Schizosaccharomyces pombe: one gene and its partners. The protein of the gene in region 2 purifies or fractionates together with the protein of the main gene of each other region. This does not show direct contact. Each region holds a gene or a part of one and is shown on either strand. Other genes may lie near its edges. The genes, in order: cut4, mad3, apc5 and cut20.

Evidence for each region.
Region 1: the proteins of mad3 (region 2) and cut4 purify together in Schizosaccharomyces pombe (affinity purification with western blotting; 2 studies listed by BioGRID, with this or other methods). This does not show direct contact.
Region 3: the proteins of mad3 (region 2) and apc5 purify together in Schizosaccharomyces pombe (affinity purification with mass spectrometry, with the first as the bait; one study listed by BioGRID). This does not show direct contact.
Region 4: the proteins of mad3 (region 2) and cut20 purify together in Schizosaccharomyces pombe (affinity purification with western blotting; 7 studies listed by BioGRID, with this or other methods). This does not show direct contact.

The regions. Positions count from the first base shown.
Region 1 is NC_003423.3:388,403-396,537, reverse strand, and holds cut4 (anaphase-promoting complex platform subcomplex scaffold subunit Apc1), read right to left. Parts: upstream 5,629-8,135; 5' UTR 5,550-5,628; coding exon 1,173-5,549; 3' UTR 501-1,172; downstream 1-500. Other genes in the region: protein mug2, read left to right, coding at 7,807-8,135. UniProt on the Schizosaccharomyces pombe protein: Component of the anaphase-promoting complex/cyclosome (APC/C), a cell cycle-regulated E3 ubiquitin-protein ligase complex that controls progression through mitosis and the G1 phase of the cell cycle.
Region 2 is NC_003421.2:995,561-999,869, reverse strand, and holds mad3 (mitotic spindle checkpoint protein Mad3), read right to left. Parts: upstream 2,455-4,309; 5' UTR 2,183-2,454; coding exon 1,250-2,182; 3' UTR 1,031-1,249; downstream 1-1,030. Other genes in the region: SUA5/yciO/yrdC family protein Sua5, read left to right, coding at 1-928; vcx1 (CaCA proton/calcium exchanger), read right to left, coding at 3,054-3,927, 3,984-4,309. UniProt on the Schizosaccharomyces pombe protein: Component of the spindle assembly checkpoint which is a feedback control that prevents cells with incompletely assembled spindles from leaving mitosis.
Region 3 is NC_003424.3:3,400,448-3,406,408, forward strand, and holds apc5 (anaphase-promoting complex platform subcomplex scaffold TPR subunit Apc5), read right to left. Parts: upstream 3,696-5,961; 5' UTR 3,545-3,695; coding exon 3,344-3,544; exon of another isoform or gene 3,283-3,343; coding exon 3,178-3,282; exon of another isoform or gene 3,130-3,177; coding exon 2,793-3,129; intron 2,749-2,792; coding exon 2,689-2,748; intron 2,603-2,688; coding exon 2,509-2,602; intron 2,465-2,508; exon of another isoform or gene 2,459-2,464; coding exon 1,691-2,458; intron 1,641-1,690; coding exon 1,514-1,640; intron 1,480-1,513; exon of another isoform or gene 1,467-1,479; coding exon 1,371-1,466; exon of another isoform or gene 1,325-1,370; coding exon 1,024-1,324; exon of another isoform or gene 978-1,023; coding exon 832-977; 3' UTR 644-831; downstream 1-643. Other genes in the region: rpl2102 (60S ribosomal protein eL21), read left to right, coding at 95-577; SPOM_SPAP32A8.02 (xylose and arabinose reductase), read left to right, coding at 5,768-5,961.
Region 4 is NC_003424.3:4,040,696-4,046,552, forward strand, and holds cut20 (anaphase-promoting complex platform subcomplex scaffold WD repeat subunit Apc4/Cut20), read right to left. Parts: upstream 3,930-5,857; 5' UTR 3,725-3,929; coding exon 3,487-3,724; exon of another isoform or gene 3,439-3,486; coding exon 3,219-3,438; exon of another isoform or gene 3,177-3,218; coding exon 3,054-3,176; exon of another isoform or gene 3,034-3,053; intron 2,963-3,033; coding exon 2,905-2,962; intron 2,879-2,904; exon of another isoform or gene 2,860-2,878; coding exon 1,339-2,859; 3' UTR 1,114-1,338; downstream 1-1,113. Other genes in the region: prp12 (U2 snRNP-associated protein), read right to left, coding at 1-1,069; MutL family mismatch-repair protein Pms1, read right to left, coding at 4,205-4,440, 4,482-5,738, 5,810-5,857.

The DNA of each region.
Region 1 (8,135 bases), on a different chromosome or scaffold from region 2:
TGTTATTCCAAAAGTACAAATGAACACGAACGATAATTCGATACACCTGAGACAAAAAATAAGAAGATAAGCTAAATCGACTCTGAGTCCTTCAAAGATAATCTATAGCAGACAAAAATAGATAACAATAGTTATAGCAAGCGTTCAAAAATACAAATTAACATAAACCGACGTTACAGATTCACGGTTTTCACAACAATACTGAGCCTTTCACTCTTAGCGCAGAACCAAAGGTGTATTAAGTAAAACTACAAGTCTTTTTGATACAGAAAGCTTTTGTAGAATTAGCGGCTTTCGAGAAACGAGCTATTCACACTTCCTATGCGTTCGCAAGCTTCAATTTGTGTTTTGCTAACGAAAGAAGTGTTGTGTCATAGGATGCAAGGTTGAAGTCATGCCCTTACTACCCCTCAAAAACGAAGGAATTTTTAATGAGGCGAATAATCGTACGTAAATTATAATAGGGGAATTTAATGTAGATCGTTACAAAACTTCAGCATCTCAGTGCATGTCGGATTTAAAGACTTCTATTTAAATTTTAAGATTGAATTCGTCAGGTGGATTTAGATGGTTTAATACAGTGTATTAATTATCGGGTGTAATTCATTAAATTATAATATTTGGAACCGTTACTCGAAAGTCATAGATTCGAACATCAAGAACTTATGTAAACAGCATACAACGATATAGTGTTAGTTAGTAGCTCGAAGTGTCATGCTTAAATCAATTAATTAACGAAAGGAGGGAAAAGATATAGAAAAAGGATAAAAAAGCTAATCTATTTTCAACGGCGCCTTGAGACAGGCGGTATTACCCCTTGAAGAACCATGGGTGCTTAGTAGTTGTCGCAATAATATTCTTTTTACTTTGCCCAGTGAAATAGTTTGAGCATCAGTATTCCAATTAACAATTTATTATTAACTTCGATTTCCTTTTAACAAACCATTATTTGAAGATAGCTATTAATCATGATCGTGAAAAAAGTGTTGCATTGGATATGCCACCTTGTATATTAATTGAGACATTAAGGTATTTATACAAGTCGTTAATTTTAAGGGGTTCTATTTTTTTAAACTTCAATTTTCCTTTTGAAGGATTGATATGATGGAAAAGATTTTTGGAAACCATTCAGCCCATTAGCATATCATATAATTAATAAACGTAGTTCATAATTATACAGATTCTTCATTATGATTATGAGAATACACATACTCCCATACTCTCAAACTCAAATCTTCTACCAAATCACGAGAAAGGAAAAGATATTGACGGGAGTGAAACTTATTCAAGAGCACACCAGTCCAACAAGACTCAAAAAATTGTAACAGTATTTGCAAACTTAATAAACGGTCTCTAGTTAAATTATCAAAGTCCATAGACAGGAGTAATTTAACGCCTAGAGAAGTTTTATTATTTGATTCTTGTAACGATGCAACGTTTAAGGGGCTATTCGAGCTTTGGAACAACCTGCTTGTTTTTACCAAGTTCCAAAGTGGGCTTGAGGTATCTTTAAGCTTAGGGAATAGATTAAGTGGCTCTTCTTTTGAACTTGTTCGGTCATAAGGCATCAGTGTCAGTGTTTGTGATTCCCTTAATAGTTCACGGTAATCACTGTTATTGTCCAAATCAATTTTTAAATTCCAATACTTATCACCCAACGTCGACACTGAACTAATGCTATCGTACGGCGGCAAAAGTATAGGCGCTTCTAGTTTTTGAACTGCGCCGCTTTTTTGAACAACATTTAATGGCACTATGCATGGCTGTTTGGTATCTTGATTTCTCGGGATAATACAACGTTCTTCCACAGCTAAAGCCCACAAATTTCGAGCAGCTTGCAAATGTGCACGATTATCTTGAGTAGTCCTGGGAAATTGCGGATAAAATGATATTAACAAAGCCGCGATTGCTAAATTACTGCGAGACAAACTATACCTTCCTCCACCTAGCGAAAGAATTCCGAGCGCCATATGAGTAGCCATTTGAGCCCCGTAGTTCACAGGCTCCATTCTCCCATGTAGTACTCTTAACCTTCTCAAAACATCTAGATCACAATAACCCGCCATAACACAAGAAGAAGACAAAGCGACAATTTGTGTACAGCGAATTACAGTCACTGCAGTTACTCTTTCATCGTGTGTTTTAGCAGGCAGATGACACAACCGAATGAAGCTATCTAAAAAGTTGATGAGAATTTCCTTGGCTTTCGGATTACCCGTTCCAGCAAACCTTAAACCTAAAGAAAAACAAATCCCTGCTAAGACATTATAAAGCAGCAAGTCGTCAGAAGAGAGAACCTTTTTTTCCTGTAAATCAAATTGTGAGAGCATTATATCAGGAATTTGATATTTCACCCATTCATAATCTGCTTTGACTTCATCCCACATAATTAAGTTTTTACCGGCAACTCGCAAAAGTATTAGATCTGGACGATAGAAATCAAGAAGATATCGCGATTTAGGAATATCAATTTTTTTCGCAACTTCCAAATCATTAGTCTTCATATATATCATAGTCAAAGCCATAATGGCCCCGGGAGAACCGGCTTCTAAAGACTGAAATGTAGCCTGACTAGATATTCCCACTTGTAGCCTTGAAACGAGTTTTAAATCAGACATGCCTGGAAGATTAGATCCTCTCCCTAAATTAATTAAACCAAGAGAAAATCCAGCAGCTAACTTATAGCCTTCATTCTTTAGTTCGCTTTCATTAGAAGCCAAAATCTCTTCCATGGTCACTTCAGACATGCGTCTATGACACGAATCATGAAATAATAAACCAATTCCTAGAATTCCTGCAGTCTGAGTTAATGGTGAAATATTCAATTCATTAGATCCAACTGGCAGTAATGCTGAAATGTGCACACTTAGCAATTTTGTAACCTTTGCATCCATACTCCCCAAATACGAGGATGCAAGTCCAAGTAAAAGGCCTATACTGGTTGTATCATGCTTGCTAGTAAGATAAATAAAAGAATGCCAGGTAGCAAGGGCCTTTAAATGACCGTTTAGCCCTAGACCAAAAAGAAATCCCGCATGGTAAGCAGTCAAAGTTTCAGGTCGATTGAACATAATCCAACTAGTGTTTATTTCCTTTGAAAACTTAGATATCGATAATCCTAATGCAACGCCAACATTAAACTCTGGCCACTCGGTTAATTCCTGTGTTACGAACTCTTTATTAGGTTGTATAATTAAAGTTCCAGGATGCAAGTGCAATGTAAAATTAAATAATCGTGGAGTGACCTTTTCCGTAGGTAAAGGATTTTTACTACCATACGTAAGCATACCCGCTCCAATTGGCACGGACAATGTTCTAACGCAAATGCATTGAGCAACTTTTTGTTGCATTGGTACTGAACTCAAGTCGACATCAAAGTGTTCAGTCATTATGGTGATTTGACTTGAATAATTTAAAAGTTTATTCACTTCTGCCAGTCGTCGATCCTCTCTAAAAATCATATCCGTTACAACCTTATAAGGATGAAACGACTGCGTGTCAACAAGTGTAGAATCGGTAACTGTACTAGTGAGTGCTTTTATTTCTTTGACTTCTTGATCCTGCTTATTAAAAACCCATTTAGGTGTCTTTGGATGTAAGAATGAATCAACGTCAAGGCGATTGACTAATCGAAGCTCTTCGCTTTCCCAATTCGGAGAATACTCTTCAGCGGCAATCTCGAGTACTGTAAAAATAATGCATAAAATTCCAAATGGGTATCTTTCACACCTCTTTCTTGAAATTCCTAACCGTACCATTTCTTCAACTAAGTTTTGAAGGGTCATATTAGGATTTAGCAAGCAATCGAGTAACTGCATTAAAGAAAGGGTTTGGGGAAACATAGTAGAGCAAGAATGTGGTAGCCCATAACTTTCCAAGCCATAAAAAGGTACTGTAGATTGCGACCTTAAACATTCAATAATCCACTGTAAAATCGATGTTGGACCAACAGGTTCCTCAACATCAACTTGAATCGATAAGGGTATAGATAGAAATGTTTCAGCGATATCAAAGTTATAATACTCGCAATACCGTGGCCACTTCAACCACGTGGTGATTTGAAGTAATAAAGCTACAAGCTGATCTTTACGAGGCTTTACAACCGAATCCAACCGCAATTCTTCAGATATAAAATGTAAGGTAATAGCTAAGGGCATCAAGTAATTTTTGAATGTTGAGTAATCAAGATGAGATGAGAGCTGAGAAGCAATAAGTATTTCTTTTTTAAAATGAAACTTAGAGGACAGACTGTAAGCTTCATTGCAATCTTCAATTGGTTCAACATGAACTTTATCTCGAGAAAAGAAAGTGAAACAGGCGAGTATTGAAGATATGAAAGCCTCATCATGGCTAAGCTTAAAAGCAAAAAGCGCGTAAAGATGTCCAGTATAAAAAATTTCATATTCACGCAAGGGCAAAACATAACGAATAACACTTAAACACCATTTTACCAAGCTATTGGATGCTCTGTTATCTAGAGATATATACCTCTGCACTCCATCGGTGTCCTCTAAGTAAAGTGTGGCACCATGCACACGAAATGAACGAAAGGTACCCTCAATAGGCAAAGATGGCGACATTGGAGACTCGAGACTCACCTTCCCCTTTGAAGACAGAACAACAATTTTTTGCAAATGCTTAGATTTAATAGCACTCAAATTTATTGCATGTAGTTGAAGCGAATCTAAGAAGTAAGGAGATCTGTCACGAACAAGGCGAAACAACATCATGTAGCCTTTTTCAAGCTCTTTCACTAAAGTGGTGATGACCAAAACACCATTTCCAAGGATTGAATCAAACGAAGTACTTCCGGTGATAGGAAAAGACTCTATGTGAGAAAATATGGTCGAATAAGCGAGTCCTTGTTCCTCGAATTTTTCAGAAAGACGAGTATTGGCGGTATAATGGATAGAATCAGAGCGAGTTAAGTCAGGATTCTTTTCACGAGAAAAAGAGCTTTCCCTTCTTCTGTTACGTGAGCTTTTTATTGACTGGTCTGACTCTGGATCAATAAAGCGACTCCTCCAAAAACTCAATTTTTTTTCTTTTTTATTATGTGTTACGACGATCTCTCCCACGACATAAACGATTGAATCAAACAGAGATAGTATTTTTTTTCCGTCAAATTTTATTAACGTAAGTTCATCTAAAGGATCGTTTAGACAAAAAATATGAGGCAAGTCAGTATTCAGATTCTCATCGCTCGAACGATGACGCTGAAGATATAGTCCACTTGGTGAACTCCATGCGCTTTCTGTTGAAAAAGGAACGTTTATAATATAAGAATCATTATTATTGTCGCCCACATAGTATACATATCCAATGTCGTCCAGAATCACAACAATTGCCTTTTTTCCAGATGCAAATGTAGTAATAAGGGCAGCATGTATCTTTTGTTGATCTACGGTATAATTAAATACACGATTTAAATGGTCATTCACAATATAATGCACAGCATCTCCAATGATTTCAACCCGATCATTCTCTTGCAAATCTAATGAATCCTTTAATTCAGGGTCTTGAATAACATTTGTTTTTAATTCTAGCATTTCAGCATCTAGTAACGATAATCAATAACTCAGTTCCGTTTACAATTTCGCATTTCCTTTTTAGCATGAAGTTGTAGGTGAAATCTGAGTGTCAGCGTATATCTAGTGTAAACAAACCAGCATCTCTTACCAAACTTACGTTAGCTAGACAATTAAAAAGTCAACCTACAGAACTTAGTGCTTTTACAAAATCAATTAAATTTAACTTGGATCTTTATATTCCCCAATTCCAGTATTTATCACGCATTGGTTTATTTGAAGACTAGAAATCTTTTTTTTGGAATACTGATAATTAAAAATACTCTAACGGGAAATTGTTTTATGCATTAAAATATCATTTTTGTTTCTCTTTTTTACAGGAATTTAGTTATAAAATCATGTCGATATAGACGACCGACTTGCCATTTCAAACTACAAGTCAGTACTTACATCCCCAGTGTCGAGGATCCATATGGAATATAAGATGCCTTACTATAGGAGTGTGTACGACAAAAGCAAGCAGTAAATTCCTTGAAGTTTAGAGTGAAGGCTTTGGGTGTTTCTATCATAACATGCAGGACTACTTAGACATTTTATTACTGTATAAAGGTTGAGCCATATAGCTGTATAGGGGGATGTAAATAATATTTTACCATACTTTATTCATTTATTTATGAAGATTTCAATGTTAAATATTATTTGGGTATAATAATGTTTGCTATATAAAAGGTAATTTCTGTCTACAGGATAATTATAGGTGCTAAAGCATAAAAGGTAACGATTGCAAGGCAATTTGTTTTTGGTCGAGTAATAAACAAAAAACTTCAAAATGAAGGACTTGACTATTTTTAAATTTTACTAACTTACGACATTTTTAATATGGAATGAGCTTAAGGATCTTTTGCCATCGTCTTGCATTGTGACAAACTTGGTGAGTATTCTGCTAATTTTCTAATATCTTCCATAAAAATATTGCAGTAACTTGAATGGAACAAGTGGTTTGTGCTTGCCTCTCGTTTAATCCTAAAGGTCACTAGTTTGTTTATATATTAGTTTGTAACATGATTATAGTAGAAAGCGTCACGAAGTCAGCGAAAAATTAAGAATTGAGGAACAAATCTAACTATGTATGAAGTGAGGAAACCCTTAGAAACCGAACATACTTGCAATGGGCTCTGAAGGCAAAAACTCTGCAACCCTGGAGTATCAAAAATGTATTTGGTATTCAGAAAAACTCTGCTTCAATTTGTTCTCATTAGCTTCGGTTATATGTTGCTTAAATCTACAACAATGATCAGGCCCCACATTTCAATGATTTTTCGCGAGAGAATAACTCTAATGAATTTATGAGTCGCATATTGACTATATAAAGCCAGTGAAACAAATGGCTTATAATGCAAAAAAATACGGCTATGAGCCTTCTAAATTAATATCTCCATAAAGTAAATATCTTAGATAATAAACTGTGGATTTCTTTGCAACAATTTCTATGCTCTATAATGTACTATCCATCCTGCTTTTGCAATAAATAGTTTATCATAATTTAATATACTTACATTCTATAATGTCAAATTAGCATGACTTGTTGAGGTTCTTTATGTTAAAAGTTAATGATACAATAAACCAGAGCAGCTAATGTAGGAAATTCAATGACAAACAAAATAGTCTGAAATAAAAAGAAATGATTTTTCTATAGACCCAATTAGTAATTCTTTGAAATGAAAAATGATTGCGATTGATCCACCAGAAGTTATAGAACGCTATGGGCAATATTGTAACAGTCATCCTTAGCTATTTACACAAAGGAAAATATATGACAAGAGATTTCTTTAGTTCGTACTTGATTAATCTCTCAGACAAATACAAAAAAAAGAATTATACTAAGTGTTTTCTTAGTAAATAGAACTCGGTTTCAATACCCAATGGTTAAAATAAGACAATGATTGGTATAGACAGTAGAATAATCGGCTATGTATACAAAACGGTTTTTATGCTTTCACTATAAAATATCTCAGCCTAAATTCTTAAATAACCTTTATGTTCACAAGATATTTCATTCTTTGTACATACAATTTAGAGCATATAAAACATCGGTAAAGCGCGTTAAAAATTTTAACGGTTTAAAACATGGCTCTCAATTGTCAGGGATTCACATCTGTTTACATGTCATGGGAGTTTATAAATGATCCAGTACAACATCTTTTCTGTATGGAAGTAGTTCCCCTTTAAGGGAATAATATTATTGATTGTCTTTACTATTTTCGAGCAACTTTTCAAGATGAAAAAAGAAAATTGGCAAAAAATTGAAAATGTGTATTTATTGGGAAAAAAAATTGATAAGGCCAAACGGATGGCAAATAAGGGTGAATCAAATACAAACATGCTCTCAACAGAAGAGAATATAGTCAAAGCAAAAGCTGTTTCTCGCAAAAAACCAGTTGACGTTTCTTACGCAGGGCTTGCAAGACATGAGTCTCATGTTGATACCGATTATCATGGGCAAGCCCTTAATACGGATAATCAAGATCCTAAAAATTATCAAGCTAGGAGCTTTGTAAAAGAGAATGAGCTTTATGAATCATCTCAAGACTGTGGACATAGCAGATT
Region 2 (4,309 bases):
GCTACGTAGATTGCTGTTGAGTGCATATCCTAAAGCAAAGTCAGAAGTAAAAAATCAAGCACATGACTCAGAGGAGATTATTCCAAAAGTTTATTTACCGTTGATTAAAAAGTTTTGGCCTGGTCCACTCTCAATTTTGCTGCCAGTTGTTGACGAGGCTAATCCCCCGGTCTCACCAATTGTGACAGCAGGACAAAAAACGTTTGCTGTTCGCATGCCTCAACATCCTGTTGCGCTTGCCCTTATTTCTATTTCAGATTCGCCGTTAGCTGCACCATCGGCTAATGCTTCAACAAGGCCATCTCCTACGTTAGCTAAGCACGTTTACAATGATTTACAAGGTAAAATTCCTTTAATTTTAGATGGGGGAGCATGCGGTGTTGGTGTGGAGAGTACAGTTGTAAATGGACTTTGTGATCCTCCCGTAATTTTACGGCCAGGAGGCATAAGTTTAGAAGAAATTCAAAGCTCTGGAGGGGCCTGGGAGCGAACAAAAGTATTCGTAGCTAAAAAAAGTGATATGGAAACAGATTTCATCCCTCAAACTCCTGGTATGAAATACAGACACTACTCTCCAACTGCCAAAGTGCTACTTTTTGTCAATTACACAGAATCTGATGCATACGGTGTTTTTGAAAAGTATTTATCTGAGCAGGGAATCACTAAGGAAAAGCAGAAGATTGGTGTTTTATGTAGTAAACGTTGGAACGAAGAGTCATTCCCTTCTCACTGTCCGTTTGTATTTTTGCATATGGGAAGGGATGGACATGAAATTACAAAGAATTTATTCGCTCAATTGCGAGATTTGGATCTGCAGGGAGTTGATTTTGTTTTGGTTGAAGGTGTCTCCGAGGAAAATGAAGGGCTAGCTATCATGAATCGTTTGGGCAAAGCTGCTTCTGTGGTTTTTGAGGGGCCTTCTCATTAGTTAAAATATTTATAGCTAAGGGGTCTTAGCTTTACTTGTATAGAGGTGTAATTACTTATCGAGCTATCTGTTTATTATTTTGATAAATTGTCTATAAAAGAATTATTTATATCATATTCATTAACTTATGGCTGACTATAATTAATTTGAGAGTAAAATATAAAAAAAAGCTGCAAATCGTAGTATAAATAAGATGCTTTATGTTAAGTTCGTATAACCCTTAAAATTCGCATGTTTCAACCTATTTCTTATTCCGGGAGTCATGATGTACAATAGTTGTTAATCTAATAACGCCAATACTTTAAATCTTTTCTTTATCGGTTATTCTTTCGATACTTCCTCATCACAATGAACTTGAAATTTCCCAAGAGGGTCCAATTTTCTTGGAGATTTCAAAGGCAACTTTTCGCCTACCCAAGAAGTAGCCGATATGTTGTTTTCTTTACGCCTTTGATCAACTGTACCAAGAGTTTGCCAGGTCCCAGGTTGGCCATCCTTTCCAGAACCATCCGCATCTGAATAAACAGAAAATTTAAATTTAGGTTTAGAAATTTTAGTCCTAGACTGGGATATTTCCTGGATATTTGTTGACTCAAATGTCGTTTGTAAAGGATTAACCGAATTTGTATTTGAAGAGAATGATTGTGGGGCAAATTCCAACCAACGGTGAGTAAATTGCTGATACTTTTGCTGAAATCTCAAAAATGGCTTAGCCTTCATTCTTTTTCCTTTCTGATAAACTTCGTCAGCTTTTTGAAACAATCCCCTAGACTCGAAATAATTTGCGTATTCCTCATAAAAAATCGAGGACTCCTGTCCAATATGATGATGTGCCAAGAAAGAAAATAATTCAACCGGTTCGTCTATATAGTTTACATATTGCATCCATATTCGTAAATACCGAACATCATCTTTATAAAGCGGATTTCGTACGAATTCTCGAGTACACCTTTCTAACAATGTTACCAGTCCACTAGTTTTTGTTTCACCTTGAGGGAAATTATCCAAGGTCCATTTAATATAATCGATCCAAACTTGTAGTGGATCATCAAGAGACTCGCTCGTCTCTATTTTTCGTTCATGGCCCATCCTTTCTTTTTGCAGACCAGCAACTTCTTTTTCGGTGTGGTTTCGCGACGAAGATTTTGCAAGTGCAGAAGCTGAATGACCAGCTTTTCTAGGCTCTATGTTTTCCTTGGACTGCTCAATGACATCCATATGCACCCAGTTCTTGCCAGCATCTAATGGTTCCATTTGTAGTCAATGTCTTCCAAAAAATTAGTAAACCTTTTCTAGAGAACCCTATACCTTCCACTAAATGAAAATAAATAAAACAAAGAAGGAGATGTGAGTGTAGTAGTATTGGAAAGTTTATTTAGACAAGTACAATTCTATTGAAAGAACGAAAATAGCCAGTATATAGTTTAATAGAAGGTGTACTGAAAGCTTTTGTATAAAATTAAAAGTGTCAACACTCAAAGAGCAAGAGTAGGAATGTATGAAAGATTGTGCGTAAATTAGAAGGTAAGTGCCAACTTGACGCTGGGGGAGGGTATCATACTTACGCCTGGAAGAGTCCAATGAAAGAGATAAGAAGTTTTTTCTGTTTCTTCGAATATACAGAAACAGAAGAAGAATTAAAATTAACCACTTCACATACTAATGGCTTGTATTATTAAATCATGTAAAACACAACCTACAAAACAACTAATAAAAATAAACAAAATGAAGATTTATAAACAACGATTTACAAGAGTTTATTCAAAAATTAATTTTCTATTTTCATAGCTGGTAAGACACATGAAACTGAGACTGAAGAATGAGCGACTTAAAAAGCTACTGTAAACAAGCAGATATTGGCTTGACCTGCAATAGAAATTTAGAGTTGTGTAGTCATTGCGAAAATGGGAGATTTCTGCATAATTTAACACTTGCATACTAAAAAATAAGTCTGCAAAATATCCTTGTAACAGAAACCAAAAAAAAAAAAAATCTAGTATAAAAAAATAAGAAATCAATAAGTTCGGTATGATAGTTTCGTAAAGTAAAACACAAAGAAATCAAGAGAGTATATCAAGCACATAAGAGTAGACATAATAAGGAACTAGCGAGGGAACGACAAAATTTATTGAGGGTAGTAGAAAAAGGCGAGAACAACAATCGCATACAAAGCAAGTAATTGAACACCTTCAAGCCAATGAGTAGCACCATCTTGTATCAAGTAATTAACCAAGAAAACAGACACAAATAGAATAACTGTTTCCAATGATTCAAAGTAAAGTGTTAAAGGTTGGGAGATGATCCATCCGACGATTACCAAGAAGGGAGCTAAAAACAAAGCAATCTGAATACTGGAACCAATAGCAACACCCAAAGCCAAATCCATTTGTCCTCGGTAAGATACCACGATTGCAGTAACATGTTCGGCAGCATTTCCTACAACAGGAAGGATGACCAAACCAACGAAAGTTTTTGAAATGTTAACTTCCTCAACCAATTGGTCTATCGAACCTACTAAATAGTCTGCGCAAAGAGAAACAAAAACCGTGACGATAGCAAGCATGGCAATGGATGAACGAAGGCCTAAAATTCGAGGTTCAGTTTCTTCTTCCACTTCACTGGGATCATGACAGACATGCTTATGAGTCTTTAATTGGAAAACTAAAAGTAAAACATAGACGATGAGTACAATAACAGCAGTTCCACGAGAGACATGGAGAAGCGCATTTTCGCTATTAGCGTTGTCGGGAAGGCTGTAATGGAAAGTCGCAGGAATCAATATGGTAGCAGTAGATAAAGCAAGCATTGCAATCATAGTTTGTGCAACAGTGATATTAAATGTGGTAATTTCACGACGAATACCAGTAGTTACGAGACACATTCCAAAAACAAGAAGCAAGTTGGATAATATTGATCCGAGAAGGGACGATTGAACGATGCGGAGCTCTCCTCTTTTCAAAGCAAGAACGCCTACAATGAGCTCGATGGCATTTCCAAAACTGTACACAACGTGTTAATAAAATAACAAAAGAAGACGATAAAGTAGGAATCTTACCTAGCATTCAACAATGCTCCCAATGTTGGTCCGCTAATTATAGAGAGTTGTTCAGTAGCAAAGCTAAGCAAGGATGCAAGGGGGATAATAGCAAGCATGTTAAGTATGAAAACAGATTTAGCGTTCCATTCAAACCATCCTGCAATTAAGCCGATCGGAACAAATACCAACATCAAGTTAAAGTAGCTAGACATCAAAACAGATTTGGTCATGCCGACCACGTTTAAAAGCGACAACTGACGAGCCATAGAGTGGTCATACTCTGATCCCAAGAGAGGGGCTCGTTCATGTCTATCCTGGGCGGGAAAATTAAAAGAATTCATAGC
Region 3 (5,961 bases), on a different chromosome or scaffold from region 2:
ACAACGTGCTCTAATGAACTAAAAACAGTCACAAAGTTTCACCACAAACCATATGGAATTTCCGTGCGTACTTTGCCTTTAACCAGGAACAGCAATGCCTCATTCTTACGGTATCAGAGCTCGCACCCGTTACACCTTTCAACGTGGTTTCAGAGAGCATGGTCAAATTCGTTTGTCCACTTATTTGAAGACCTATAAGGTTGGTGACATTGTCGACATTAAGGTTAATGGTGCTGTCCAAAAGGGTATGCCTCACAAGTACTACCATGGCAAGACTGGTGTTGTTTACAACGTTACTCAATCTTCTGTTGGTGTCTTGATCTACAAGGTTGTTGGTAACCGCTACATGGAGAAGCGTGTCAATGTTCGTATTGAGCACGTTAAGCACTCTAAGTGCCGTCAAGACTTCTTGGACCGTGTTAAGGCCAATGAGGCTAAGCGTAAGGAGGCCAAGGCTCAGGGTAAGACTGTTCAACTTCGTCGTCAACCTGCTCCTCCTGCTACGGCTCATTTCGTTTCTACTGAGAATAACGAGCCCGTCACTCTCCACCCCGTCGCCTATGATACTACTATCTAGTTTTAAAAAAGAATGCTGTTCCTTTGGAGTTTATCAAATAATCAGACATTATTCGTAGTTTTAATTGTTGTATTTTTGTAAATGCATTTGTACATCGACTTAACAAAGTAGTATATTTATTGTGCTCGTATCCTCGTTTAGTATAAAATATATATATGTACATCTTAGTTAATCATGAGTATCCGTTGCTTAATTATATTTATTAGCTGATTTGTCGTTAAAAGTATGAAGGTATAATCGTATTTAAACGAGTGTTAGTTTAGCAAATTGTCGGAATAGAATCGAGAACAATATTGCTCAATGTTGGGCTGGAGTGCAGGATCATTAATTTGTCGTAAATATTGAATTTTCAGGCGGACAACAGTTTTTTGCATCTCTACCATGTAACAGGCCCGATAACCTATTTAATCATTAGAGATTGAACTCGAAAATCTTGATCAACTTACCATCAATAGCACTATCAAGCAACTGAATGACAAACATTCGTGAAGGCTGCAAAAGGTCAAGATGTTTAATCTGCAAAGAAGCAAATGCATGAAATGCTAATGCAAGTAATGGTTTGTTATCCGCTGCAATTATGTCAGGGATTAGTGAATCTAATAGATCGATAGCTGTAAAACAATCCAGTTCCCCAATCAAGCACAAAGTGCATAATCCTCTCAGAAGATACAATCTTAAATAGTTTGATGAGGCCATTTGAATTATTTCCAGCAATTCAAAAACAGCTCGATTTGACATTTCAGTCCTCTAAACACTCACATTAGCATAAGCCTAAAATCAGCCTTCACCTTACCATATAAATGTCAACCTTTAAAAACATCAACTGCAGCACCCATTCAATCGCCAGTTTTTCCGGTTCTTCCAATAATTTATCAATTCCTTCAATGGCCTAGTAACACGTTTAGTATATGTAGGTACGAATGTTTTGTTAATTACCTGACTTAAATTTCCCAAACTAATATCCAACCTTAAAGCGTAGAGTTGAGTTCGAAAAGTAGACATCTTGTCGTGTCTAAAGCCATTTAAATTTTTCAAATACAGGGTAGCATCCATATGATTTTTCCTTTTCAAAATTAGCAAATTTTCTGATTTTTGTAAACAATGATTTCTTACTCGTCAATCGCCTTAGATAAGTAGATAAATGTTTTTTCTCTGCCATATAAATGTGCGCATTGAAAAGAACGCTGTGATTGAACCTCAGCAGTCGACAAAATTGTAGCAACATCTAACCATCTTCCTAATTCAGCGTACCTCCATGCCTTAGTTATAAGACTTTGTAATAGGTCGAGTGCAGGAGAATCATGGACGTGATTTTTTTGATAGATCGAAATATAAGTCATGGAAAGGATAGAGCATCCTAAACGATACCAAATGCTTTGTAGCAAGTCCATATACCGAGGGAAACCATCGAATGATTCATTAGCACAAAACAAAGCAAATGCCTTAGTCAAATTAGAGAAAACGCCAATTAAACTAGATCCATCATCTAAAAATTTTTGGACCTGTAAGAGATGAACTGTCGTCTGTAATATAGGCAGTTGAGCTTTTTGACTATTACGCGCAAGATGTTCTAGTATTTGATCATCGTTTTCATTTTTTTCTGGAGAAGGATTCGAGTATTGTGACCGCTTAAACTCAAACATCCAGGCCAATGCAAAATTAAGACAAGCAGTATCGCCGCTTTCACGAGCAGTATTAATCGTATCTTCAATCGCATGAAGAGCTTCTTCATTACAGCCAAAATCGGCTTGAAGCATGGCAAGATTGAGGAGAGCGTACTGATAAGAAACCTTTTCATCAGAATGCATAATGTGATCAAAATATCTGCAAAGATTTTCCACGGATTGCTGATAATCACCACTAAACCAGGAATTTAAGAATCTTAGTATGTTAGTTAATTGCTAGCAGGAAAGATGTGCTTGGTATCTTACTTGCAATAATAGCTAGTATTTAGATTGTTTTCTTCAACTTCTAATAAATCATGCAATTTTTCTTTCATTTCCAATGGAAGAGCACATCCAAATTCTGCGTAAATCAGTTAATAAGTGCTTAGATAATATGCATTAAAAAGCTGTTAATATAATTGTTAAAAATTTTCCAATGAAACCTACTTTGCATGTGTTCAATTTGAACTTGAGTGAGTTGTTCAATATCCCGACTAGAACGAGAAACTAGAAAAGTTAGGAAAAATTAATTTCAAATTAACTAAACAAACCTGGTATACTTCCAAATGCCAACTGTAGTAGAGTCTTATTGCTAGCCAAATTCATTAACTCATGACGAACATTAATCTTACAGAATTCAATCCCCTCATGTTGAAAATCCATTGAGGGAGCTCTGTATTGAAGAAATGATTTAAAGAATTGAACCCCTTGTTCGAATGAAAACTGCTCGTATTCCACAACACACTTTCGAAGGAAAATAGATAAAAGTGAAGACGATGAAAAAAGCATATGGGGGGCCTCTTCTTCAGAATCGTAAACACCTTCTATGTAGTTTCCAAGAGAAATGAATATTTCATGAATATCTTCAAAAGAATGCAAGGACCATAGCTAAAACAAAGTTGTTAGAATACAATTTTTGATATGATTCTTTCATACACGTTCATGCAATAAACTGTAAACGCTATATTCTTCAATTGAACTGGGAAGGTGACTTGTTATGTCGTGAATTCGAGTCAGTGTTTGTGGTTGTGAGTCATTGGGCTAGAGATATACAGTTAGTACTCGAGATTAAGAGAATCTTGTTTCAGTCAGTTGTTCTTACATTAAAATATCCCAATACCAAATCTAGGAAGGGCACACAATGTTGAGGTTGAATGATGCGATGGGCATAAAGTTCAATAAGCAAACATAGCGTCAATTTATGTGGTGTCAAAAAGGTAGTATAAAAATTTTTTTTTGAAGAATTTGTTTTTAAAGGTATGGGAAATATTGGTGTTACCATTGACATCGCGGGACTCTGCATGGTTAAATAGGTAAGCAGTACACGATCGTCTCTCAATCCTATAATTTATAGCAATGCACCAAATTTTCTCAATCACAAACAGTTCGAATGTTCTATGTACCAAATAAAACCTCTTTATCGAAGAAGGCTGGAACAGTAATATGTAAATGGCATGTATACGTTCAGAAGTGCGATGGTTGAGTATTATGGTAAGTAGTCTTATGTTTACAAGATATGCTAACTATTCAAGCATTTAAATCTCTAGAAGTAAACGTAAAAATTTAATATTTTTTCAAGAATGATATATTTTCTCGGATATTTATTTCTTTCAATTTGTGTTGCTCCTATGTTCTTCAGTGATATTTGTCAACAATACGCATAAACATATGAACTTACCGAAATTGTGAATGATATATAAACTACCTCAATATAGTTAATAATCATAATCATCAATATTTTTATTTTATTTAAGCATCATTTTTACAGCTTTATCCACGATTGAAAGTGGTCTTCATAAATGTTCGTAAACAAAAATAAACAAACGGACAAAAATAATAATAAAAAGCTTGAGATATCAAATTTTATAAGAGATTTTCTTTATTCTTTATTTTCTCCTTGTCATCTTTATTGTTTCTATAGTTCTTTTTTTTTTTTTTTTTCGCAGGCACACACAAAAAATTTATTTACTATTGGGTTAAATTGAGTAATAATCATATGAAAAGTTTTATTTAAAAATCACTCACGTCTCTATAAACTCATGTTTTGTTTGGGTATTAATTGTGAACTGTGAAGCATTAATTTCAAAAGATATTCATTATGATGCATTTTAAAAATATCATCAATGCTTAAAATAATGCTATTTAAATAAATCCAATAAAATCGATTAACCTTTACCTTTTAAAAGTGCATATTTTTATTTATATGGTTTTTTAAAAATATGCATAAGTAGGCATAGAATTCGGGTGTCATAGCTGATAGTAATAGAGTAATTGATTGAAATGATGAAATATTGCTTTTATTCTTTTTTTTTTTTTTTTTTTTTTTAATATACACAAAGCCCTTTTAACATTTTGACAATTATCAAATTGATTTGCTGACCAACATTTAATGACAGAAAGGTAAATAAATAAATTTTGGGAAGAAAAAGAAAGCACCATTTCAGTTGTAGTAGACTTTCGTTTTGTATTACCTAAACGAATGCAATAAAACTAGCTCTCGAAGTTTGTGAATAAGAAATGTTAATTGGGTTATATTTGTCTATAAGTAAGGTAAGTTAAATTCAAAATTGGAAATCAAAGAAATACACAATCGAAGTATGGTTAATCTCTAACGTATACTCTAAATGCACTAAAGTCCCTATTGTAAATTAAATGCTAGGCATTTTGATCAAGTAAGCGAACGATCGAAGGAAAAAGGATAATCATACAAGCGTGCAAGTTCAAATGATGTCTAAGCTACGCTTAATTCTATTCATTTTTTAAATTTATTAAAATATTAGCTAAAGTTTTTCTACTAATTCATCTTACCCCTCTACACAACGCTTGGGTTAAACAGTTAAATCTTCGACAGGAAGCCTCGCTCATGAAAAGCACTTTCAACTTGAAATGTGGACATCCACGTGGGGATATCAATAATAAAAGTCAGTTTTAACAACATTCATTAATATTTTTCTATTACACAAGTAAATCGTAAGCACTCGCTTACTTGTAAAATTTTGAAACCAAACTTCTTTTTCCGTAGAGAAAAAGTTCTGCACGTTTCCTGAAACCATGAATGCAGCTATCCGTTCCCCTTCAAAATCATTATCGCTGTCGGGAATTTGTCAATATGCTGGTTAATAGATCCCCCTTCGTAGCCGGATATAAAAAGCGATTTGAACTCTTTCAATTTGGCAGCGTATTACCGGATTGAGGGATCCGAGGACTTAGCGAATTCATGTATATATAAAAGAAGGGTTCCTAGTCAAATTTTATTTTAGAAGTTAATGCAATTTCTTGTTATTTTCAGTATCATATAATAATAAAGCACCATTATATTCTCTAAACCAAAAATAAAGGATGCAAAACCATAGACATCGTTAAATTCCCTAAGGCATTTGTAGCTACTAGTTATACCGATGTTGAAGAACTTCATTAAGGACGCTAATAAGAGAACCTGACGTAATGTATCCTATTGTTATTTGCGGCATGTGAGCTCCAAGTTACCCAAAACCAAAGTATTTAGGCAAAGTTCAATATCTTCAAAATGAGTGAATCTCAAACAGAATCAACAACTGTAACATTAACAAATGGAATGGTTATACCAAGAATTGGTTTCGGAGCTTTCATGCTCAAGTACAACGAGTGTTACGGCCTTGTAACTCAGGCGTTGGATTCAGGGTATCGCCATATTGATACGGCTGCCGTGTATGGAAACGAAGACATATGTGGGAAGGCTAT
Region 4 (5,857 bases), on a different chromosome or scaffold from region 2:
GAACTGCCAGGGGAACTGTATCAAAATATTTTAACCTTAGTTCAACAACATTCCCTTGACCATCATGCTCGATTGTCAGCTTCAGCAAATCCCCGTCACCAGTTTGTAAAAGATAAAAAAACGATCCTTTCATTTTATGGAGAACAGCACTAACAATCAAAGGACCATCATTTGCAGAGTTTGAATTGACTTGATTCCATGGAGTGGATATGGCGTTTGCCGATGCAGCTTGACGACGCAAAATGGGAATTTGATGAAATGCCTTCTGAAGGTGACGGTAGGAAATCCATCCGTTAGATATTACTAGTGTACCGGAGGGCCCATCATTACCACCGGGAACAGGGATTAACATATAAGAATTTCTGTCAACGACCTTCGACCATCTTTTGACAACATGGTTTAATCCCAAATCCAATTCGTAATATGATAAAACCTTTTCCGAAGATGTAAATGCTTCTCTAGTTGAGTCATGGTCTATTTCGCTGTAGTCGACTTCTAAGGCAGCGAAGATGGGATTAGCATAACCAGTATCTAACCCAATTAAATGGAAACATATATTATTAGCTTTATGAGCTTCAAGTGGTGAAGATATTGTTAGGTTAGCCTCTGAATCTCGATTTAGTACGTAAACCAGCTTATTTTTCTCCACAGATGCAATCATAGCGGCCCTCCCCTTCGCATCTATGGCTAAGTATTCACCAGGAACAACTCTTCGAATTCCTGATTTTCCAAAAGTTTCCTGGTATATTGGCACTAATTTATTTTTTTCAACGTTATATTCCAAAATGGTTATTCGTCCTGAATCCGACGTGACTACGAGATAATCGCGTTTAAAACCAGTTAATCTCAAAGGAGCAACATTTCGAATAATACCAAAACAATTTTGATTTAAAATACAATTCATTCTCCCATCAGTTGCATCAACTTTATATATAAGCAACCTTGATTCTGTAGCAATTACTATCTCCTGTGCCTTTTTACCAGACAAGGACGCGGCACACGAACTTTGAACATAATTACTATTCTGTATTGTTAAGGAATATAGAAACAGAGAAGGGAAGGTGTCCATCTCTATACTTTAGCTGAAACACGATCCTCGCTGAGAGAAGAAGTCAGTGTATCAAGGAAACTTATAGCAGAAGGTAAAAAACTTCGTTATATGTTGACTTTTCTAAATGAAGTTATTGCAATTGAAAATATTGTATAAATTTTCTGCTTTTAAATTATATTAAAGAATTAAAAAAAAGAAAAGAAAATTTAAAAGACCGCTACAAAAAATGTAACTTGCTCTTCAAAAACAAGAAAAAAAAAACATTACGACCATTAAACATAAGCTCATTAAAAAGAGAATAAACGATATCTCGAAGATTCCCTTGAAATAAGGACTCCGTAATCGCTATTCTCAGAAAGGGCATATTCGAGTGTTGAAGGAAGGAAATCCTTCTCAAATTCATGCAGCCATAGGCAACTGTTTAGTGGAATGAAAGGAAGATGACTGATAGCATCAAGGTAACTGTTTTTTTGCTGGTGCTCAAAAAAGGTTAAGGGAACGTCTGCTAAGCAAATTTCACATAAGAAGCACTTCTCCTTTAGTTTTCCAAGTATTAAAATACTACTTCCGTTTAAAAGCTTCATGTCTAAAACAGTTGCGGGCTGGAAATCCAACAGACTGCTTCCTAGTAATTCTGCATAATCCAAGCCAAAGTGGCATCCAGATACAGGCAACATAGTATTTTCCATAAGTTGGGAAATTATTAAGAATATATTCGGAGTATCCTTTCGAAAGAATAATGAAAATAATTGGTTTTTTTCATTACAGGATTTTGGTATAAGAGATGATACATTCCAATCAGTCCCTTCAAACAAAACAAGGTCTCCGGTTTTTAACCATTGCTTTTGACAAGTTAAAGAAGGGTAGCTAAAAATGACGTTGAATGAGTCTCTTAAAGATTCTTTCAAGGTTTTGAATGATACGAAATCATCAACAGAATTACTGTCGTCTTGATTTGCAAAATCCTTGAGAGAATAATAATCAGGATCTCTTAGCTGAAGGGGTTTTGTGCCCATAAAGTAACTTGTTAGTTTCGAGCGGAATAAAGAATGACGAATATAAATTACGGTTTCATTAATATGTTCAATAATCTCTTGCGGTGGAATAGAAGATGGTTCAGAAGTATTAAACTCGACGATAGCGTAATTCAACCATGAAATAAAGTGCTTCATATACTTTTTTTCCTCAAAAAGGCAATTGAGAAACGAAAAAACATTATTCTGTAAATAACCCAAAGTTGCTAGACAATCTTCCACCAATTTAGCATCTAGTAATGTGTTTCCCTTCATATGGCCCCATATTGACTTTCCTCTGGCAGAAGATAATAATACAGTTAACCTTTCACAAGCAGGTATTACGAATTCCTGACAGAAAATGATTAAGGACGTGTACGAATTCACCATCGCCCGTTCCCAATTTTTTAGTACTCGATCACCGACTCTTTCGTTGATCCATTCTTTGAGTAAGTCGCTGGGTATACCGTTCATTATAAATTGATATAACTCTAGTTGTAAAGAAAAGAAAGTTGTGTCACTGTACTTGGACACTAAAGCATCAAAGGTTTTAATAAAGCTAGCTTCTGATTTGAAGACATTGTCAAATTCTTCATACATAGCATTCAATACCTCCTCAAGATATCTTACCAAATGTTGCATACGTGTAGACATTGTTGCAATATCCACAATACTTCCCAAATCATTTTTAAGTAATGGCATATAAAGTGTTTTCAAAGAAATATTCGTTCCTCCTTTACAAATAAGAACATGATATGCTAAGTCGTTGGTTATGCTGTGTGAAATGGGAACCCCCTATAATTTGTGTGAGCAAGACATTTAATAACATGGGTATAATACCAAGTTCAAGGCTGATTTCAAAGAATCGCTTTCTCCGATTTTGTAAGACGAAAACATACTATGAATAGTTAGTACTTCTAATTTGTATCGATCGATAAAAAAACTTCTTTTAGAAAGATGCTAATAAATAAGGGGTTTTTGATACGCACTTTATGTATCTAATTCCACGTTCATCCAAAATACTTAAGAGCTCAACTTTTTTGTTATTTTCACCCTCTCGTTTCCTCGGCTCAAAAAATTGTGCGATTGCTTTTGAAGAAAATATACGTTCCCTAAAAAATGTAAGAGACAAGTCGCTTTGTGTTACTACTTACTCTTTTGCCGAACTAGGAAGTGTACCAAGTAAAGGCATATATGCAGTGGCATCAAATAAAAAATCATTGCGTTTTTCATTTACTATCGTTTCTTGCATGGCCCATGTTATCATTAGAACCGCTAAATCTCTGGAAGCTGGCCTTTGCTCAACCAGATGTCCTGTGGAGGAATCAATAATTTTAAGCTCTCCATTTTTAAATCCAACAACTATTAAATTCCCTATTTATGTTAATGATACAAAAAAAGTTTTCCAGTCGAGCCACGTACCATCGTGATTCCAACACAATTCAGTAGCCTCGAGATCATGAAAATCGACATCCCAAATTCTTTGACTGTTACTTCTACAGCAAATCAAATGATTTGAACACGTTAATATCGCAATGAGTTCCATAGAAGGGCATAAGATTACTCGTTTAAGGCCACTTCCAACCCTTTCAACTCTATTAGTTTCATTAATCCATTCAAATTTATGCTTTTTAGGGTATTTGAAAGATTTTGACACCATTTGGATAAGACTGGATGATTTTGGTGATTCGTAGAAGTTTGTTTATTGTAGTACAGCAAGTCAATAAAAGCCTGTTCAGGTATATAAAATATCTAGTGAATGGATAGTTTCAACAATTATCATACAACCTTTTTAAATTTGCTAGCATAGATGGTTTATTAGGAAGTAAGACTGATATTGCAAAACTGAAGTTGATGAAAGTTGTAGGGATACAAAACATTAAGAAAGCGATTATCCAACTGTGCATACCTCGTTAGTACGATGTTTATTTACATCTAAAGAAAAATCATTTCCTCATGGTTCAAGTTCGCTTAAAATAATTCTTTAATGATAAAAATTTCAATTGAGTTTGGCAATAAGAGATTCACTTTTAATAATTGCTGATTGCTATGTTTTAAATACATTGTAAATAAACCAATATTATTCATTAATTCAATAGCTGAAATTCTAGAATCGTTAAAAAAGTCTTTCTTTTACGCATTATATATCTTTTAATCGAAGGAGATGCCTCATAGTTGGCCTTCCATGAGGGCAATTCCAAGGCTTGCTCAACTCAGCAAGATGCCTAACTATTGTATTCATTTCGGATATAGTTAGAGCCCTACCAATCATGACACTGCTTCTACAAGCCTTTGAAGCAAGCATTCGCTCAAGCCTACTACTAAATGGGTCTATCTGTGGGTGCTCAGACAACACACTGATGATCTCTAGTAAATCTACAGAAGTTAAAGGTCAAGATCTTCGTTAATAAACTTACCACTAGTGTCAAAAATGACATTCTTACTCGTGGGAACTGAAAGAAGAGTGCAGCGATTACCAACTCGCTGATTTAAATCTATAGCAACGCCGAATCCTTTTCTTCGAATTAAATCTATATGGTCAATTAAAACAGTTTCCTCTGTAGCAGCTAAATCCAGTCTTTTTGGAAGGACTAAGTCTTGGCTGTTGATAACTAAATTACTTTTGAGATGTTCATAGTTGAACTTTTCATCGCTGGCATGTTGATCAATTATAAACAAATTGTTTCCATGAACAACCACTATGAATCCTCTATTGAATTGACCAACAACCCTCATTCTTAAAAAATCGGCTTTATGTACAGTTAGATTCAAATGATCTTCCTGATTTTCATCTGAAATATCATGCACCACGCCAATCTTGTTCGAAAATTTCAGTAAGGCATCGCTTCGAACAATATCTTTTTGCACTCCACTCAAAGATATATTTATTTTTTTACTAAACTTGTTTAAACCATCCAAGGGCCTAGATTGAAAAAATTTGAGCTTTTGTAGCGCTGCAGTTTTTGACGGAATTCTGTTCGCAACACTGGTTTGCTCAGTACGAGGAATGCTCGAGAGTGTGGAAACTGATTCTGCGTTGTGTACCGACTCAATCTCGTTTAAATTAATTGTTTTAGCAACAGGTGTTGATGCTGGACTTGGATCATTTAGTAACAAATTGTTAGGATTCGAGCTAGGTTTATTGATGGGTTGCTTTAGTGGGAAACTAGAGTCTATTGTTTTCTGCATAGAAGTATCAGTACTAGAAGCGAATAGGGCAAGCTTTTTCTTCATTCTTTCGGAAGAGGCCGTAACTTTTTCGTTTAATGGGCTACTTCGTCTCATAGAATCCTTTTGCAAACGCTCTGGCAAAGGTTTGGATACTTGTGCTAATGACGCTCCTTCTGCAACACTAGTGGATATTGCTGGTTGAGCAGTAGCTTCTACGAGCTTTCTTTTACATGGTGAGCGTTTATAAGAAAAACTTGAGTCATCACTTGTTTCGGATTCTGTTGCTGGAATTGACTGAGGCAATTCCTGATCTGTACTGTCTCCAGAGGAATCAGGAATTTGCGAGGAATATGAAAAAATGGATTGCGATCTGGAACAAGAAATTGCATGTCCGCAGCTTTCACATAGGTTTTGCAAGGAGTTTTTAATAAATTCAATTATGGAATCCTCTTCAGACAAAAATACAGATTTTTTGTCTGGAGATACATTGATGTCAATAGTTCCTAAAATAATTGGTTAGTAATGAGTGAACGTATATAGATTCTCTCAAACATAGTTTTTAAAGTGAACATACCATTTGTGATGCGAAGATTGATGGCAAAAAACGGGGATTGTGCCATAC